Linked DNA regions of Lytechinus pictus. Each later gene encodes a partner of the first gene's protein in a complex. Links are inferred from orthologs where the notes say so. Each region holds a gene or a part of one and is shown in the gene's direction. Other genes may lie near its edges.

Region 1 (10,762 bases):
ATGAAATATCCTTTCCTCTGAGTTTTCATGTATTTTCTCATAAGAGTGAAAAAATTACAAAAATAAAAAATAAACAACATCTAGTTCGTGCATTTTAATAAAAAAGTCAACATTTATGATATTCCCCTTTCAAAAGCAAATCCAGTCTCAAAATAATGAAACATGATTGAAAAGTTTCAAAATATTTTTTTTTTCTACAAAAGAAAAAAAAGAAACACTATAGATTTTGCATTTTAATTTAATAAGTCAACATTAATATTCCACTTCCAAAAGAATCCAGTTTCCAAATGATAAAACATGATTGAACAATCAAAGTAAAACATGTTCATGTTGACTCTATAACCTTAGGAGGAAAGTTTTTGTGACAAAATGTATATATTTAAATCAATATCAGAATAACCATCTATGGTATAATGACAGACATTTTCAGAAAAAGGCACAATATTATCAAGTGAAAAATTTAGATCCAGTTCAATCCAGCATGAACGACTCACTATCGACCACTCCTGTCACCAAGCCCTCCGCATCGGTTACCGGTAGCTCGACTGCCGAAAGACCGTCGGGAGCCCACCGCATCGGGCAGCTCGACTGCCGAGAGACCGGCTGTGACAAGGGTAGCTCGCGTCTCTTATATCTGGACTGCTCCACGATAGAATCTTTTTATTTGACTTTTTTTTTCAATTTGAATATATCTATAACAATAAGGATACATAATTGGATCGTAGTTCTACTTACCATAAAAAAAATTCGATCATTTGTGCATCCAAAAATTTGATGAACTTTCAAGCTCCGATATCCCCACTTCACAGGCGAGTATCCACATTGAAACTTTATATGTACAGAAAGAGCAAGTTTTCAACTGTCTGTATCAAGGCACGAGATTGCATCAACTATGTGCGCATGCGCATGAAACCCCATTTTCGATGAGCCGCCCAGACAGAGGTGATGCCACTTGCAGCAAAACCCGCGCGAAAACCGTGCAGCCAAAACCAGCGCTCGCGATGCGCCTGTATTCGCACATACCTATACATCCATAGGCCTATATAGAAAAAAAGAAAGAAAAGAAATATACAGGAAGAAGTGAGAAAGAAAATATTACAGATGCAATGATGTAGGTCATCTTTTGTAGGTTGGAAAAGAAAGGCCAAGGTTGCAATAAAATGAAATATAATTATAAAAAAAACAGAAAAAGAAAAGAATGAGAGAGAGGAGCCTGAACTAAGTAGAAGAAAGACATGAAAGAACTAAGATAGAAGAAAAGTGAAAAAAAAACTGGAAAGAAAAGGAAAAGCTTATCGAAAAGAAAAGGAAACAAATTCATGACAAAGTTGTCATTTTCTTACACTTTTTTTAAAATCTACACACAAAGATAATAATTCTGGCCAAACTTGATGCATCATGAACTTCCTTGTCACTTTGCAGCAGATATAGTTGGGCATCTCTTCTCAGTCAAAAACATGTTAGGTGGTTTGTCTCATGAAAATAATACCAGTGTCCTGTAACACAAACGCTAGCAATCATCATATGGGCAATTCCATGGAAAATGTTCACTTTAGAGAAATAAAATGAAGTTTCAGATCTCACTTAAGCAGTCATAGTTTCTTAAAAAGTAATCTATAAAGTTTCAATTTCCTATAGAAAAATCGCAATATTGACAAAATTTTGTAGTTTTTTCCATCATCAAAAAAATAGAATGGTAAATTGCAAAATCTAAAAATTGTGGCTATTTTTAAACAATTCATCTTTCCTGTCTCTACTAAAAGCAAATAAGGTCACAGAGGTCTCTTTTAACTTATGAATAGTTGATTAATGTTTACATCAACAGAAAATCATCAATTTTAGAGAAATCGATCTTCAGATTTGTGTGATTTCTTTATCATTATCAGTGTCATGTCCGTTACGTTTTTCACTTAAAGTTTTCACAGCTTTCAGGAAATTTGTCTGAAGGTACTGCAGATTCAGATTCTATGTTAGAATTAAACCCCCTACCATGTGTAGCAATCATTTTCCCTTACCACTTCTCATTTTCATAAAAATGGCGTAACTGACATGACAGGTTGCGTAACGGACATGACGCCTTATATATGACAAAAGGCAGCATTCACAAAAACAAAATATTAGGCTCAGTGTCACAGACTGAGGTCAGTCTCAATTGCTTGAGGATAGCTGGATGTAATAACTCCTAGAATCTGCATGTCATTCAAGCTATTTTTAGTAGTTGGTAAATGATGAAAGTTCAGCTCTTGTTCTGGTATATTTTTCTGAGAATTAACGGTATGCCACATAATATTAGGATAAGATGCAGCTAGATCTGGCAACATACTCAGATCACAATCTGCATCATTTGTGTTTGAACAATACAATTGATTATCTAATATGCTTTTCACACTGCACTTTTTGTCCTAAATTGTTGGGGCTAAGGGGGGGGGGGGGGTCTTAGCCCCACCAATTTCCCGGGGTTAAGCTTAGCCCACTTCGTTTTCACACTACGTTTTAGCAAAGTGGGCTAGCACGGTAAATAGTACGGTACTATCTGGCCCTGCAAAAAAGCAGGGTTAGCCGGCTTATTGTGGTGCTAGCACCACAATTGCGGTGCTAAGAGATGCAATGTGAAACGAAACAGGGCTAAGCAAAAGCGGGGCTAAGCATTAGCCAATCACAGAAGTCGAAATTGCACGTTAATCGCGCTCTGTATGGTAAAATCATCAATATTTATGAGCTGTGTGATTGCCCGGGGTTAAGGCGTAACCCCGGCTAAGCAATAGTACGGGGTTAAGAAAGACAGTGTGAATCGAAAAAAAGATAGTATGGGGTTAAGGATAGTCTGGGGTTAAGGAAATGCAGTGTGAAAAGCATATACTAGGTGTTTGCTGACAGTTTGGAGCATGATAAAATTCCAACTTGTGAATTCATGAGATCATTGATGATATTGCTTCAAAGTATCTGACTTTCACCAACCTCAAATTCTTCAGTGATGGCACGGGCTCACATTTAAAAACAAGTTTGTATTCAGATATCTGTGTTACATGATGCAGCTCTATGAATCCATGAATCTACAGTGGCACTTCTTTGCAATATCACAAAGCAAAGGGGCCGTGGAAGGAATGTGGTGCAATCAATAAATTATGTCATCATAGTATTTTGGTCAACCATAATCACGATTTGAATGATGTATCTTCATTTGTACACAAGCAGTGCAGACAATGCAACAAAATTAGATACAGCCAGTTGCCACATTTGTTAGCAAGCAAGATCGTAAGATTTAGAACATCCAAGATTTGATGAAAGGATGATTATACTCAGGATGATATTTATTTTGAATGAAAAAATATCTCAGAAGCAATTTACAAACATTCCGATTACTTTCAACTCATACATAATCGATAATGAAAGACTGGTTTCCAGGTACTGCTATTAAATTTTAAAATACTTTTTTATATCATTTTTTTTAATCTTAAAAGTGACATTAATACTAGTACATTCTTTATCACAAAATACATTTCATAATATATGTTCATCTTGGATTTATACAGGTCTGGTACATATTGTTTTCTTCTCACAAAAATGAGATTTGGTCTTCTCAGTGTGCCGTAGTGGTACTATGTAAGCATTGTATTCTATATAAAATTATCATGTAGGCTATAGCTATTAAATTAATAATACCTGCCAATAATATCTACATGTTTTTCATAAGAATGTTAGTAAAGGTACTTTGCTGTTACATAATTACATTCATTATTCATATTTCTTTCATTTTGATATTAAGAAATGCTGATGAAGTTCATCGTAAGGGTGTCATGTCCGTTACGCTAGTGTATATTGTCAAAGAGTAAGCCATGAATAAAAAATAATCTTTACTATCAACTTTTTCTCTTTTAATTAGGTGTGGCTGATGGTAGTAACTGGAAAATACTCATTAACTGTTGTTAACTGGTGTTAAAGACATTTTTCTAAAAATTTTTTGGTTTTATAAATATTGTACGAAAAGCCCCTCACTCAAATTGCAAAATAATAGGAGATATTACAGATTACCAGTTATGATGTGTGTCTCTAACCTCTAGCCTTAACATGTAAACAATAAGACTTGTACCATATCTTGTAATAACATAATTATATCCGCTTACAAAAAGTGGACGAAACTGTCATGTCCGTTACGCTTCATGTGTCATGTCCGTTACGCTACATTTTGAGCTATGAATACAGAATGCACTGCAAAACTGTTGTTAAACACCATTTTATGAACAGAGCATGATCTTAAGGTTAAATTAACACCAACATCAGGTGCATACGTTCTAAGAATTCACAGGAATATCGATGAGCCATAGGAGGTAAAAATGCTTCGTCCATTTCGTGTCATGTCCGTTACGCTCACAAAGAGTGCGATTTCTCCACAACTGTTCAACGAAACGATTTGAAATTTCATGTGTATGTAACTGATACTTAAATGTGTCTGATCTGCTCAGTAACAATTATCAAAAGACTGCTAATTCTACTGTATAAAGCTTTGAATTACAAAAATTTGTCTGAACGTCATGTCCGTTATGCTGGAATTGACCATATCTAACATTTCTTTTACAATTGATTGCATTGACTACAATGTACAATCACTCGTCAAAATCAAGCTTGCATCCTTTGGCAAGGTGTTTATCTACATTTGCCACTCTTCACCCAGGTGTGGTAAATGGGTACCAGGTACATGTAGGAAGGAATTCCTTGAATGCTTAAGCACCCAAGCAGGGTTGCAGTGGTAAAGCCGGGGTATTAGTATGCAGTGGTTTGAAACATTGTATTGAATAAATGTTGCATATCATTATTAATATTTGTGTGTAGTTTTCTTTAATTTTGGCTCACATGAGTACAGACACTACAGAGATAAGACTGGACACTTCAGTACATTAAAGGAGAATGAAACCCTTGAAACCATCTGAATCCATATAAAAGAGAAAAATCAAAGAAACATATTGTTGAAAGTTTGAGGAAGATTGAATGAATAATAAGAAAGTTATGAGCATTTGAATATTGAGATCACTAATGCCATGTAGATCCTCCCATTGGCAATGCGACCAAGATCTGTGATGTCACACACGTACAACTCCCTCATTACTTTAGTACTTATTTCACTTATATTCTCACTTTTATAGAGTCTATCACAAGGTGAGGTGTTCTCTTTATGAGAGGACAAGTACAGAGGTTTCACAACATTATATCATTGATGAATCGTTTGTCATATGATTAGAATGAGCAAAAAGAGATGTTTTGGGGTATATTTTCAGTGTCCAAAACTGGACAACTCTCCCCTTTTGGACACTGAAAATGTACCCCAAAACATCTCTTTTTGCTCATTCTAATCATATGACAAACGATTCATCATTGATATAATGTTGCGAAACCTCTGTACTTGTCCTCTCATAAAGAGAACACCTCACCTTGTGATAGACTCTATAAAAGTGAGAATATAAGTGAAATAAGTACTAAAGTAATGAGGGAGTTGTACGTGTGTGACATCACAGATCTTGGTTGCATTGCCAATGGGAGGATCTACATGGCATTAGTGATCTCAATTTTCAAATGCTCATAACTTTCTTATTATTCATTCAATCTTCCTCAAACTTTCAACAATATGTTTCTTTGATTTTTCTCTTTGATATGGATTCAGCTGGTTTCAAGGGTTTCATTTTCCTTTAAACTTGCATACATGTACGTCAGTAGTAACTTTTAAGAGTTAGAACATTTCTCATTAATATGCTAATGTGTTTTCTGTGTCCCTTAAAAATGCAAGTGGTAAAATTGAGTAATTTCTTTCCCCTAGGACTCCGTGGGTGAGGAGGTGTTACGAATGTCAACAGATGAAATCATAGGAAGGACAAGACTGTTAGACAATGAAGTCAAGGTGAGTGATGGAGGTTGTTTGAAAGAAATTTACTCTTCTATGGAAAATACATTATATGAAGCAGAAGGGGAGGAGAGGAGAAGAACAAGAAGGAGCAGGATAGGGAGAAGGAGAAAAGGAAGATGGGAAGAAGTAGAAAAAGAAAGAAAAGAAAAGGAAGTGGGAGGAGAGGAGTGGGAGAAGGAGAAGAAGGAGAAAGAGACGAAGGAGATGGAGAAGGAGAAGGAGAAAGGGAAGAAGAAGAAGGAGGAGGAGAAGGGGAAGAAGAAGAAGGAGAAAAAGATGAAGGAGAAAGGGAAGAAGAAGAAGCATCAGAAGAAGGTGGAGGAGAAGAAGGAGAAGGGGAAGAAGAAGAAGAAAATGGAGGAGGAGTAGACAAAAAAGGGAGGAGGAGGAAGAAGAAGAAAATGATGAGTAGGATTAAGAGAGAAAAGGATGATGCAGAGAAAGAGTATAATTAACTTTGTATAGTGTGTTTGCCTTGTATTATTTTATTGTTTTGTTTGTTAAGCTTTATTTTTGTTAATATTGCCTTTTATTACAATAAATCTGATCTGTTTTTAATAAGTTGTAAATATTGTAATTTTACCTTGATTATGATTTTTGATTTAATAAAACATACAAATATAAAAAGGAGTATAATTATCATGTGATAAAGACAAACATTCTTGACATTTTGTTCTTTTCATATTCAATTTGTCATTTCCATCCATGCAGATAATGAAGAGTGAAATCATGAGGATACAGCATGAACATCAAGCACAAAAAGACAAGATCAAAGAAAATGAAGAGAAGATTAAAGTCAACAAGACCCTGCCATATTTAGTTTCCAATGTTATTGAGGTAAGTCTGATAGGACTCCATATTAGCCTTCCTTTTCTTGTTTGTGATGAAGTTTATTGATTTGTAAGTTTTTTTTTTTAGTAGGGTGGCTCCATCAGTAATTGGCATACTTTTTTCCTGGGAGGCCCTACAACAAAAATACAAACATAACAGACATAATTATGAAAAGTGTACAATGTGAAATTATGACGAACAAACTGTAAGGAAGAGAACAACACAAAGGGCCGGTTTATAAATTAAGGCTATTATAATGCCAAAATAAAAGACTAAATGGGGATTCTGATCAGGCAGTTCTTAAAACATTACATGTAGGTGAATTATTCCAAATGAGTGCACCAGCAATAGAAAAACTTGTCTTCATTTCCGTTCGAACTTTGGGCAAAATCAAACCTGTGCTTTGTGCACTACGAGTACGAATACTATGTACAGTTTCAGAGTTTTCAAAAGATATTTAACAAATAGTCTGAATTTTGACTAAGGAAAACAGAAAATATCATTTTACATTTAAAATAATTCCATCGATCTTCGATGGGAATCCATTTTAGTGTGCTTAAATTAATTCGGGTAGGAGTTCTTAGATTGTCTTTCAGGATTACTCTGGCCATTTTTTTTTGTGTTGTTTAATCATGACATCTTTTGTATTTAAAGTTGATCAACTTCATATTGAAATTAATACTTGAAAGTCTGCATATATGCAGGTGAACAACAAGACTTAGCCATATTTATTTTCCAATGTTGTAGAGATAAGTTGTGGACGACCCACCTTTCTTGTTTATGATAAAGTTGATTGACCTTGTTTTGAAATTAATACAGTAAAATTTGCAAAAATCAGGCGTGGTTCCAGAGTGAGACTTTTTTTGTGCAAAATTTGTCCGAAAACTTTTTTAAGCAAGAAAAATTCTGTCTTCCGAAAAATTTGACAAAGAAAGAAAAGTAGTATTCGCTTGCTGCTTGTTGGTAAACTTGTCAAATGTAACGATTGTTCGAGTTTTACTCCCAGGCCTACCGATAATCACTCACATGTGAGATGAGAATTATCACTTGGCATAAATTAATTATAACATTATGAATAGTTTTAACATGACCCTGTCTTGTCGATGACTTTTAATCAGCTCCTTGATGTCCAACCAGACGAGGATGAAGAGACGGAGGGAGCGAATGTTGATCTGGACTCACAACGGAAAGGAAAATGTGCTGTAATCAAGACGTCAACAAGACAAGTAAGATTATGGGAGAGTGAAGGGGTGGGAAGGGGGTGGGGTGAGGGAGGAGATAGAGAAAGAGGAAACTTATGGGATTGACAGAACAAATGTTGATCTGGACTCACAACGGAAAGGAAAATGTGATCAAGACATCAACAAGACAAGTAGGACACCATTCTCACTACCTTCCTAAAATTAGTTTACTGGAAACTAGTTTAGTGGAAACTAGTTCAACGTGTAATGAGAACGGTCGAAGCTATCTTCCAAACCGGTTCATAAAACCACCTCACGGTGTAGTTTTCAAGATCGCTTTGCCTTGTTCAACTGGTTTTGGTGTAAGTGAGGACACAACCGTTCTTCGGGAAGCGATATTCGCACATTTTGAGCGTGCTACTCCACACGACACTCGACAGGTGTAGAATGCCTACGCTGCGGTTTCGTATTTCGCGCGAAACGTGTCACCCCACTGAGAGCGTTTCCATAGCAACAATATCGCTTTACGTGAAGTGATTTTGTAAACCACTTTCGTGTGATCAAATGGGAACGCTAGCAAAGGGGTCTTCCAAACTGGTTTCCTGAACCAGTTTCCAGTAAACTAGTTTTAGAAAGCGTAATGAGAACAGTGTCTAATATCATGGGGGTGAAGGGATGGGAAGGGAAGGGTGGGGAGTGAAGGGGGAGATAAAGAAAGAGGAAAATTATGGGATTGACAGAAAAAATGCTGAAGTAGATTCACAGAGGAGAGGAAAATGTGCTGTGATCACGAGGTGCTGTGATCACGAGGTCAACAAGACAATTAAGAATATGGCGAGTGAATGGGTGGAGGATTGGGGGGGGGGGGGTTAAAAGAGGGGAAAGAGTGAACAGGGTAAGGGGAAGATGGAGGTGGGGAGTAGAGAGGGAAGGGGAGAAAGATGATTGGTGACAGAGTGAATGTTGATCTCGGCCCCATAACACAAACGTTAGCGATCAATCGCTCATTTGAAAGAACAATTCTGATTGGTTCCTAGTCAGTGCACTGAGCAAATGTGCATGCAACGATGATCTGGATTGGCCATTCCATTTAGCAATTAATCGCCAACTCCCTTGTGTAACTTGACCCTGGACTCAACGAGAAATTTGAGGAAATGAAGTTGAAGGCCGAGAAGATTGAAAAGGAGAACAGAGAACTGAGGGAGCAGAACATCTGTCTTCAGAAGAGGTTCAGTGAGTTGACCTTCCAGCTTAACGATCTTGACCAGTACCACAGGAGAGTCAACTTGGAGGTGGCAGGTGTACCAGAACGACCGGGAGAGGTTCCTGAAAGGATCATACTCAATATTGCAAAACACATCAGCCCAGAGCTTGCAGCATCCGACTTCGATGTGGTTCATCGGCTGGGTTCCAAGCGCCAAGCTGATAACAGAGCCCGTCCAATCATCGTGCGATTCACCACAAGACGTGCTCGGAACATCATGTATGATGGAAGAAGAAAGCTGAAGACCCTCAGCACAAAAGATCTTGGATACAACAGCGATGGCAAAATCTACCTCAATGAAAACTTGATCGCTTCCACTAAGGAGCTAATGAAAGATCTCAACAAGGCCCGCCGAGATGCCGGATACAAGTTCTTGTGGACCCAGAATGGCCGAATCTATGTAAGGAAGGATGAGAAGTGTCAACCCATCATCATTCATTCCAGAGAGGACTTTTCCAAACTGTAGTAGGACTATCCTTTATCCATTCCATGTTATTCGATTTTCCAGTATTCTTTTCATTTATTATGAAATTCTCGTCCCAAAATTTTTCGCATTGTTCAATATCTGTGTTATTTTCCGTGGTGTATTTTGCATTCCTTCACTGCCCTTTCAATAATGTTTCAATACCAGACATTTTATGGAGGTCATTTTACTTATTTTTGTGTGCAAATATTCTTCATCGCCCGTTAATAATTGTATTAGATAATCTTTATTTTGTTAACTATTACAACTGTAGTATTTTCCGAACTCGAATTTTGGGTCATGATGGTATCAAATCTAAAAAATGCTTTATATGCTTAGCTTACAAAGATTTTGTTTTAAAATGGCAATATATTATATTTCATAATGGTGGATAATATGCGTGATTTCCCCTTTTATCATCTGAATAATGATGATTTCTTATTACTAAATCATCAAGATAAAAGCAATGTTATCTCAAATCATTATACTCCATTTCAGCATTTGATAGATTTTCTACTGATATTCTTACAAATAATTTTGATGAACTTCAAGTTGAATTCGATATTCATGATAAAGCATACAATCTTTCCTCTTCTCCATATTATACAGAAAATTCATTCAAAGACTATGCTAAATTGATTGGAGAAGATGATGTTTTTATTTTGCATTTGAATATAAGAAGCGCTAACCAAAACTTCGAGAAATGACGATTATTATTAGAAAATACACAGTTTGCCAATCCCCCAATTATTGCTCTTACTGAAACTTGGTTCACGGAAACCCCAAATTCCTTATGCACCCTCCCGAATTATGATATTGTTATAAACAATAGGAAAAATAAAATTGGAGGTGGACTAGCATTATATATTCCGTCTTCATTTGATTATGCAATTAGACATGAATTTGAATATATGAATGAAATCATCGAATCCTTATTTGTAGAAGTAAAAATTCAAAAAGATAAGAAAACTCTAATAGGTGTCATCTACAGACCTCCTCAAACTTCTTGTATAGAAGATTTTTTACTTGCTACTAATGAACTTTTGCAAAACGGAGAATTGATAAATAACAATTGTATCATCACTGGTGATTTCAATATTAATCTCTTGACCAGTAATCACTCTTTA
Region 2 (10,874 bases), on another chromosome or scaffold:
TTTGTCATTTTAAGCATTGTGATGCCATGCACACTGAATAGATTCGTACGATCTAAACAAATATCTCATGACCCTGTTGTATACCATTATATAATGATTTGAAATATCTGAGTTTCCTTCTGTGAAAATATTTTTCTGTATCACGCATTAAAAAAACACTCTTGATCTTTTAAGTAAATGGAATTAATATTTAGGGAGTGGAAGATGTCATCCTTTTTGCTCTTGAAAAATATCGCTCTGACAATCAGCTCCCTCCCATGCTAATGCACTTCACCCCTTTGAAAAGAAATTGCCGCCATTTGCTTAATTATGTAATGCGAACGTAAGGACCATTTTTTTTTCCAATCATACATGCATGGTCTTCTGTAACAAGGATATACTTTCCTTTTCATATACAATAATTATCAGTCGTGATGTAATGGACAGATGTCCCCGGGGGACGTTTCATGATGGGTTGTCAGGAGGATATAGTGTTCGAGGGACTGTCCTTTCCGGAACCGTTCGTTTCAAATAGACAGAAGCGTAATCAACAAACAAAAAATGAGGGGCACAAAATGGCAGATGGTGCAAAGTTTTCTAAAAACGAGCGAGAGAAAAAAAATACCTGTTCAAAATGCAGATGTTACTTTGTATTAGATTTGAACATAATATCCCGAAAAATGAAACAAATTTTATTAAAGTTTTCTGTCATTTTCTTTCTTTATTTTTTGTGTGAATCATTTTGTGTCCAGTACCCCCAAGCCCCCCCCCCCCCTCCATAATGTGTACAAAGTAATAGGATCGCATTTTGTAATTGTGATGTTAATGAAAGAATAAATCATTATATAACCAAGGCATGTTTCGAGTCAGGTGTGTTATTATCAATAGTACATGGCGCCTTACACAGCGGGGGGGGGGGGGGGCAGTTTTCTCACTCCCACCCCTCTCCCTGAAAACTTGCAAATTTCATTTTCACAAAATTCACCAAAAGTGTGCACGAAATGTAGTTTCATTTGAGAAATACATAAGCATCTCCATCTTCGATTTTTGTTTAGATGCGTCTTGTCACCCCCCCCCCCGGAAAAAATTACTTTTAAGAAAAAAAATATATATAAAGGGAAGACGATAGGAAAAGACTGAGAGAGATCAGAGGCTGGAGGGGGGAGGGGGTAGGGAGAGATCATGAGAGGGAGAGGAGGGTGAGAGAGGGGGGAAGAAGGGTATTGGAAATTGGAATATAGTTGAGAATAATAGATAACATATTCAATTATTCAACTATTGAATTATTGAGTCGAAAAGGGGTTCCCAAGTGGAGAAAACATTTTAAAATAGCAAAATGGAGCAAGAGAGAGAGAGAGAGTGGCTGGGTGAACGAGGGGACGAAGAGAGGACGTTTCTATACAGTGCGTATCAAAATAAAGTTTACACAAAGTGTGAAGAAACAAGTATTAAATGAAAAATGAAATGTAAACCCACTTTAAATGACACAAACTTAGTGAAAAATGCTGGAGATGTCTGATATAAACTTTTGTTCAGATTCAGTTATGTCCTCAGATCCAGCTGGCACAAAAAGGGTAAATGTTGTGTTTACTAAGTGTTGAAATTTCAATTTGGGTGGCAAAGTTGTTACAAAATGCTTGAATGTATCCATTTTAATTCAATTGACTTAGAGTGCAAGGGAAATGTAAGAGAAATGTTTCGCAGGGTAAGTTTGATGTCGCCCTTTCCCCTTGACACAGCGTGAAAACGAGCATTTCTGCGCAAACAGATTTCTGCGAGCTTTACAAAAATGGACAGTGCTCACTCAAGTGTAACATTCTGCCAAAACTTTTACTTTCATTGGATAGATGAGACCCAAACCCAAGATTATATGTGAAGAAATTACCCACATGTTGTATTTTTTTTTTTAATTCCCAGGGCTTTTTCAAAGTGTAAATTTTTTTTTGATACGCACTGTATAGGCAATAATAATAATAACTTTCAATACGATGTAACCATGCATGAGATCAAGCTTATATGATATCGAATTATTTTCCTTCATATAACATAATGTACTTTGCCTTTTCTTGATATGTCCCTTTTTTTAATGTGATCAATAAGTAATAGGCTCAATACTGCACCGTGATAGCCTTTACTGTCTACTCGATGCATGTTCTGGCATTTCATTCGAGACTATAGGCGCCGCTTTTCCGACGGCGGGGGTGTCGTCAACATTGAAATCTTAACCAACTATACATGTATAAGATTAAGATAATGACATGTCATCATAACTTAGAAAGTGTATGAACCTATTTCATGAAACTTGGAAATAAGGGTAATCAAGTATCATTGAACATCCTGCTAGAGTTTCAGGTCACATAGGTCACATGACCAAGGTCAAAGGTCATTTTTTGTAAAGAAGGCCTACCTGTTAGGGTCAAGATCATGTTGGGGGAATCAACATCGAAATCTTTACCAATAAAGTTAAGTTTTTGAAATATCGTCATAACTCAGAAAGTATATGGACCTAGTTCATGAAACTTAGACATAAGGATAAGGGTGTATCTCTCACTGGCGTAAATCCCGGGGGGGTGGGGGGATATATCCCCCCACTTTTCGAGGAGGGGGGGTGGCCTGTACAAACATCCCCCCACTTTTTACGAAAGAAATGAAAAAAAAATCACAAGAGATAATTGTTTTATTGGTGAAAATTCTTCCTGAAATACCGCTTAACAAATAAAACAATATTATTGAATCATAAAATGCAAATAAAGAGCCAGTTCACAATTTCCAAACGAAATACTTATGTCCTTATTATAACATTGAAGAGAAACTCCCGTTTCTTCCAATTCATCAATGTTGGGGTCTTTGGGAAGGGATTAAGATGGAATGTCAATTCTTTTTTAATGTAATCTCTAATAAAACCATTAAACCATCATGGGGTAAAAAAGATAATAATATTGGAGGGGTATTTGCCATATGGACATACAGTGGCGTAACTACGGGGGGGGGCATGGGGGCACATGCCCCCCCATCGGCTGACAATAAAAAACGGGGAAAAGGGGAAAAGGAGAAAAGAGGGAGAAAGGAAGAGAAGCGTATAGTGGGAAAGAAGAAAATATTATTCATTATAATGTTATATTATAATTATGTTATGTTACATTACATAAGAAACTTTTTTATCATAACTTCATGAAACAAAATTTGCCCAGGGCCTACGTCTTCATTGTTCCTGGTGCTTGCATTGTCTGTTAACGAGATATATAATCATGTTGTACTGAAACATCCCGTTTTCAAGTCAATATAAACCAAATATATTTCCTAGCACTTGAGTTATCATTGTTTTATGTAGTGACATATGCTTCTTTTTCATGACTCAAAAAGTGATTACCCCATGTTAAGGTCTTCGTATATATGAAACATTTCCTGTCCGTGATTACGTTCGCATTAGTGGATTGGTGAGATATGTCTGCTCTTCATGAATTCCTAAAATCAGTCCTTAAAATGTCCCTTCTTCTGATCTAAATATCAAAAATTTTCAGCTCGCGCTTCGCGCTCACATCATTTGGATATTGAAATACGTATGGTCCTGGTTAATTCCTACAAAGAAACCTTAGAATGCCCCACTTCAGGTCTGAATTATCTGAATTTTCAGCTCGCGCTTCGCGCTCGCAATATTTGATTAGTGAGATGCGTATGATGATCATGATTGCAATGACTACAAAAAGTGTTTCATGTGTTCAGATGTAATTCTTATAAACCAGCAAGCGCTTGGCACTCGCATTAGATGAATATGGTCATGATGGTGAGATGTGCATACTCTTAATGGATTCCTAAAATATATTCCTCAAAATCTCGCTGTTTGGGGTCAAAATATACGAAAACTTCAGCTCGCGCTTCGCACTCGTATTGTTTAGCGAGACAGGTACCTATCATGATTACACAAATTTGATTATAATGTCTCTTTTTAGGTGTGAATTTTAAAAAATTCAGCTCGCGCTTCGCGCTCGCATTATTTGATCAGTGAGATGCATATCCGTTTAATGATATTGTCCAGAAAATGTATCTATTAGGTCAGTATAACTGGCAACTGAGCGCGCTCATTCAGTGATTCAAACATTTTGCTGGTGCCCCCCTCCCCAATGCCGTGACCCACGGTACGCCACTGTGGACATATCAATGACAATTCCTTGCATATCTAAAAACATGATTGCAAAAAAAAACCCAAAATATTTCAGTCATCCCCCACCCATCAACACGGATTTACGCCAGTGGTATCTCTAAAGATCCTAACTGAATTTCGGGTCACATGACAAAGGTCAATATGGTCAAAGAACTTTTGCTATGCCATTTGTGGAAATTGTCATCATAACTTTGAAATTTTATAGATCTAGTTCACACTGGCGTAAATCATTGCGTCACACCTATTGTTCAGGGGGGACGGAACAATAGATCATCCCCCCTGAACAACAGGTGTGACGCAAGGATTTACGCCAGTGCTAGTTCATGAAACTTGGAAATAAAAGCAATCAAGTATCTCTAAATATCCTGTACGAGTTTCAGGTCACAAGACCAAGGTTATAGGTTGACGAACTTTGGTAATGTTGGGGTAGGACCTATTTGTGTAATTTTCATCATAACTTTAGAAGTTTATGGATCTAGTTCATGAATCTTAAACATAAGAGCAACCATGTATCCCTACACTATTGGAGAAGGAGAGGTGATGCCATAACAGTGTTCAAAATTCTCAAGGGAATGGTGAGACTGGACCCAAGTCAGTTCTTCACCTTATCTGTATTTTGTTGAAATTTTATGGATCTACTTCATGAAACATAGACGTAGGGGTAATCAAATATGAATGATTGTTTTTCACACGTCATAGGTCACATCATCATGGTCAAAGGACCTATATATTTTATTATCATATGAATGTTTCTTTTGTGAATAATTATTCAATAGCTGTTTTCAAAGTCAGCACTGCTTCGAATCGCGTAATGCAGTCGAGACTGCCAGAGGTGTTCCACTTGTTACTCTCCGCCCTCGGGGGGGGGGGGGCCACTTCCATTGACGAGTGGATACCATGCGCGACCATGGGGTCTCGAAAAGCACCCTAAACACGTATTTTCCATATTCTGAAAATGCACCCCTTAACAAGTATTGGTGTGTGAAACCCTACTCTTAACAAGTATTGGAAACAAAACAATACTCTTGGCAAGTATTCCCTGAATTGACCCCCTAAACAAGTACAACGATACTTTTATTGTTATGTGCACTGTCGTCGGTTTTACCTGATTGGGTTTAGTACAGCCCCTGCACATCTCGCGCAAAATCATACTCTAAACAGTGTTGACTCTTGGGGCAAAAAGTACATCCTTTATAAAACATTTTAGTCTTAATTTTTTTACACCCTCGCAAATTTGACCCTAAACACGAAGCTTTCCTAGCAAAAATAGATACCGTTTTTTCATTATTTTAGTGTTTTTGACACCCTTATTACGTTACGTACGTAACGTGCCCTATCTTGAAAAAGACATCCTTTTTACGTGTTTTTTTGGTCGCGCATGGTATCCACTCGCCAATGTAAGTGGCCCCCCCGGGCTCTCCGCTCTCTCTCTCTCTCTCTCTCCCTCTCTTTACAGATGAAATATGACAAGGCCTGTAAGTGTAAGGTACATATTACTTTTTGATATTCATTATTTCGACGATTCTGTTCTTACATGGATGGAATTTGAAAAGGGTTCAAACATAAGAAATGTAATTCAAGATAACGACGAGATGGGTTAACACGAGAACTCCGTGTTTTCCTTTTTCATTGGCCCATCAAAAACACCACATTTATCGAAATTTCGCATTGTCACTTACAAATTCTCATCATCAGTGAGATCTGCCGTAATTTTTACAGTTTACGTGAATATATTTGCCTTGTTGTAACCAAGTCAATCATGTCTGGAGCATTATTTGGAAGTTCCGCTACCGGAGGTCGTCCATCCAGTAAAAATCTGGTGGAATTTCGAGCTGGTAAAATGGAATTGAAAGGAACGACTGTGACTCCCGACAAGAGAAAGGGTCTTGTCTTCCTTCACCAGCCCGACGATACGCTCATGCACTTTTGCTGGAAAGACCGCACATCTGGCACAGTTGTGGACGTAAGTCAATAACACTAACGTAACAAGTAACATGACGTGGTAGGATGCTAATATTAATACTAAAGCATTAAAATTATTGGAACCCAGAAGGGATGGGGGCATTGGCGGCGGAAGCCAAAAAATTTAGGGGGGGGTCCACCTGAAATTTAGTAATGTACACAAACAGTGACAAATAAAAATTTTGACAAGCAAAAAAAAAAAAAAAAAAGGTCATCAACTAAAAATTTGGGGGGCGGGACCTGTCCCCCCCCCCCCCGCTTCCGCCGCCTATGGATGGGGGCGGGGTCATCATGAGGGGGGGTTACCTAGACAGCTGGCAGCCGTCTGTTTCGAGGAGTTTTTTAACTTTTTTTTTTTTTTTTAATTTCTCCTCGTACACAGACGGCTCGCTAGCGTGCAGCCACCATTAGGGGACTTGCAATGCAAAATCCCCCCGTCGGGGCTCTTCAATTTTTGTCTTTAATGAATAAAAATTTTGAAAATTAACGCGACCAAAATGCAAATTAATATTCCCTCTTGGCATTAATTGCAAAAAAACAGAGAAAAATCAAGTTAAAAGGAAAAAAAACAATGACTTACCTCGGCTGTCGCACAAATTCACTTCCCCGTTTTATCCGATCTTAAGTACATAAACATATGGCCATTGAGTCCCCTGTACAGATCGCGCTAGAACTTCGGTCTCTGTATTTGGTGAGTGAAGCCAACGGAGTTCAGCTGAACAACCAACATAACAGAGACCGAAGCTTTTGGTCTAGGGGTTACCTAGCCAGGAGGCTTCTAGAGAGCACTCCTAGTAGGATGGGGGGTGGGGTGTCCGGACACTTAATATTTTTGAAGCCTTCTTTTTTGTCTTTGGATTACACTAAAAATACGAATTCAATAGTTGTAATCATCTTCTGTTTTGTTCTCTATAATATTACCTAACATTTCGTACTAAACATTTTATGAAACTTTGCTTGTAAATTTTTCCAAATGACTTTCTAAAACTGATCGTCCGGACACACAACCTGTCCGGACACACAACAACTGGGTATACTGTAGTAGTACCAATGAGGTCCAAACATTACATGTATGGACCTCATACTTATACTAGGCGACATCTGTAGTATTTTGTGTCGGAAATCTTTGTGAAGATGATTATTTGTGTATTATAACACAAGTACGAGCTATCGTACTGTCTATTCATTAAATTTTTGTTTAAGAAAGTTAAAGCATTGTTAGCAATTAAAAAAAATTGAAAGAAATGAAGGGGAACTTACATTTTGACGACTTTTTCCAGATTTTATTGCCAGTTGCTCTTCACTTCTGACTCGCGATCGAAGCTGATATGCAGATCACGTGATACGCGTTCTCGTCAGCTGATCGGTTGGTTATTCTTTTCGCCAGACGTTGATAATTATATATTTCATAATGCTAGCATTTATCGCAAATTTAGGTAAAAGAGATTGAATTTAAACAGCGCAAGCTTTAATTTTCTCAAAAATAACATTTAATTGATTGCACAAGTTTCGCCTTGGAACAAGTAGGATCATTTGGTCCCATGTTTGCGTAACTACGGGGGGGGGGGGGGGGTGGGGGCGGGGTGTCCCTACCACTATACACCCACTAGCCAGCAATTATAGTTTTTTCTCTTTTTTTTAACCAAAATACCTCCCCCCCAAAAAAAAATAAAAATAAAAATAAAAATAAAAAAAATAGGGTTAAAGAGAAAGAGAATTGAGGAACACAATATGCTTTATATTTTCCTCTTTTACTGTTTAACGAGACTTGTAATCAAATATTAAATGGGGCTGTATTAGAACAGCCTTTTTTAAGTCAATTAATAAAAAATATTCCTCCTCGGGATTTGAGCTTTCATGAAATATGAATCTTTTTCATGACTACCGAAAGCGCTAAAAATGTCAAAATTTTTAATTGGTATATAAAGCTTTAGCTCATGCGTTGCGCCCGTCTTATTTTAATGTTATACAATTTTATGCTTTTAATGAATTTCTAATTCTCAGATCTTGTCGCAATCCGATTGGTAGCTATAATGAATGATTATTATGTTTCATGAATTGTTCAAAATGTGTCTCTCTATCAGTTTTGAATATTTAAAAAAATGTCAGCTCATGCTTTTTGCTCGCAATATTTTGATTAGTAAGAATTTCTTCTCTTGTATATATTATGCGAGTTTGAGTAAATAACTAGAGAGAGAGGGGGGGGTCCCTCAGCTACTTGTCCTCGCTTATTCCCAATTTTTTTTTATATTATACTCGTGTTCAGAGTGTTTCAAAGTCTTTTCTGATTTTTTTAACACTTTTTATTGTCTCGGAGCTTCCCTCTATTTTTTTTAACTATGATGTAGCCCATTTTACTTGTTTCAATTCTTTTATGTCTCATTTCATTGAAAACATAATTATTAAACTGACTGACTTTATTACGAAATTTTGATATTATATTGTCTTGTTTGTTTGGCTTTCTTTTTTTCTTCTTATCCTTCTTACTTTTTCCATTTCCTTATTTTCTCTTTTATTTCATTTCATGAGGCATCCGCCAACTTATATACAACAACAACAAACATTTTTATTTGGTGGTGTGCCCCTCTAAAAAGGGAGGAAAATAGGAAGGAAAAAAAGAAGAAGGGAAGGGGAAAAAAAAAGAAAAAAAAAGAAAGATGATGATGATGAAAATTATCTTGGTGATGATGATGGTGGTGGTGATGGTGGCGGTGATGATGATGATGATGATGATAATGATGGTGGTAGTGGTGATGATGATGAGAATGAAGTTGGTGATGATGGTGATGATGAAGACTAGATGTAATTTTGTTATTTTGTCTTTGAAAAAATTAAGTAGTGCATAGGTGAATTTATTTAAAGTTAATTATGAAAATAGCAGAAAAAATAATTTGAAAAATTGGTATGCGTTCAGGAAAAATCCATCCCCCACCAAAAAAAAATTAAAGGTGAGATTTTAAAAATAATTATTTGTGACGGCGTAGGCCTTTGCGAGCATCTATATCGGATATAATTATGGTAAAAAGTAAATGAAATGTCAAGAAATACGTGATAATGACTTTTATTGTACATTCAGTATATCAATAGATAACTTCATACTCTCTCCAAAAAGAAAAAAGTGGGTCATTACGGACCATTAAAAATGGGAAATTTTGGCATTTTATATTACATAGAATATTGAGCAACTGCTCGTTTATGACGTCACAAATCAAGCATTCGAAATTCTACTAACTCCATTTTTGTCTCACCTGCATAGCAGAGTGAGACTATAGGCGCCGCTTTTCCGACGGCGGCGGCGGCGGCGGCGTCAACACCAAATCTTAACCTGAGGTTAAGTTTTTGAAATGACAGCATAACTTAGAATGTATATGGACCTAGTTCATGAAACTTGGCCATAAGGTTAATCAAGTATTACTGAACATCCTGCCTGAGTTTCATGTCACATGACCAAGGTCAAAGGTCATTTAGGGTCAATGAACTTAGACCATGTTGGGGGAATCAACATCAAAATCTTAACCTAAGGTTATGTTTTTGAAATGTCATCATAACTTAGAAAATATATGGACCTAGTTCATGAAACTTATACATAAGGTTAATCAAGTATCACTGAACATCCTGCATGAGTTTCACATCACATGACCAAGGTCAAAGGTCATTTAGGGTCAATGAACTTTGGCCGAATTGGGGGTATCTGTTGAATTACCATCATAACTTTGAAAGTTTATGGATCTGATTCATGAAACTTGGACATAATAGTAATCAAGTATTACTGAACATCCTGTGCAAGTTTCAGGTCATATGATCAAGGTCAAAGGTCATTTAGGGTCAATGAACTTTGGCCAAATTGGGGTATTTGTTGAATTACAGCCATAAATTTGAAAGTGTGTTGGTCTAGTTCATAAAACTTGGACATAATAGTAATCAAGTATCACTGAACATCCTGTGCGAGTTTCAGGTCACATGATCAAGGTCAAAGGTCATGTAAGGTCAAAGAACTTTGGCCACGTTGGGGGTATTTGTTGAATTGCCATCATATCTCTATAAGTGTATTGGTCTAGTTCATAAAACGTGGAAATAAGAGTAACCAAGTATCACTGAACATCTTGTGCGAGTTATAGTAGTTTTCAAAATCAGCACTGCTGCTATATTGAATCGCGTGATGCAGGTGAGACGGCCAGAGGCATTCCACTTGTTTTTAAATAACACCTTCACCGATGTTTTGAAATTATTTTTCTTTGGCCTATATTTTCACAATCTTTTTATCAAGGTGAAATTCCCCTTTACAAAACAGTATCCGCATGATCAGTGTGTAGCGGTAAATTATTCACCTGATAACTATAGACCTATCTATAATTCATGCGGCTATGTTTAATAATATATTGCTGTGAATAGAATGAATGTCATTAAAAACATAATCTCACTGATCACTAATGCCAGCTCAACGCGCAAACTGAAAAAATATATTTTCTGCCCCGATAATTTGATAACCCTAACCTAACCCAATTTCTAAGTATTTTTATCATAAACAGGATAACTATAGACAATTAATTGAAAACTTGATATTCTTTTGCGAAAATGAATATGAAGGACAACTTTTTAATAAAGAACACAGTTTTAGAGCGTGATTTATACCTACAACCGCTTAATCCTGTCACTGTCGGTATGACATGAAGCAGTTGGAACTTTCTGATTCCATCAGCTTAATAATTTTTGCAACAGGCGCCAGTCCAACAAACAGACAGACATTTGCCCAAACAGACAACATCTCAAC

Evidence for each region. The genes of interacting proteins can lie anywhere in the genome.
Region 2: 26S proteasome regulatory subunit 6A (region 1) and proteasomal ubiquitin receptor ADRM1-like share a complex: the UniProt entries of both Caenorhabditis elegans proteins name them as parts of the 19S proteasome regulatory particle complex. The link is inferred for Lytechinus pictus from reciprocal best matches to the Caenorhabditis elegans genes rpt-5 and rpn-13.

Annotation. Positions count from the first base shown.
Region 1 is NC_087250.1:14,967,180-14,977,941, forward strand, and holds the start of 26S proteasome regulatory subunit 6A, read left to right. Parts: upstream 1-5,803; 5' UTR 5,804-5,836; coding exon 5,837-5,890; intron 5,891-6,607; coding exon 6,608-6,733; intron 6,734-7,845; coding exon 7,846-7,953; intron 7,954-10,762. UniProt on the Caenorhabditis elegans protein: Component of the 26S proteasome, a multiprotein complex involved in the ATP-dependent degradation of ubiquitinated proteins.
Region 2 is NC_087245.1:15,500,270-15,511,143, reverse strand, and holds the start of proteasomal ubiquitin receptor ADRM1-like, read left to right. Parts: upstream 1-5,792; 5' UTR 5,793-5,900; coding exon 5,901-6,104; intron 6,105-10,874. UniProt on the Caenorhabditis elegans protein: May function as a proteasomal ubiquitin receptor. May promote the deubiquitinating activity associated with the 26S proteasome.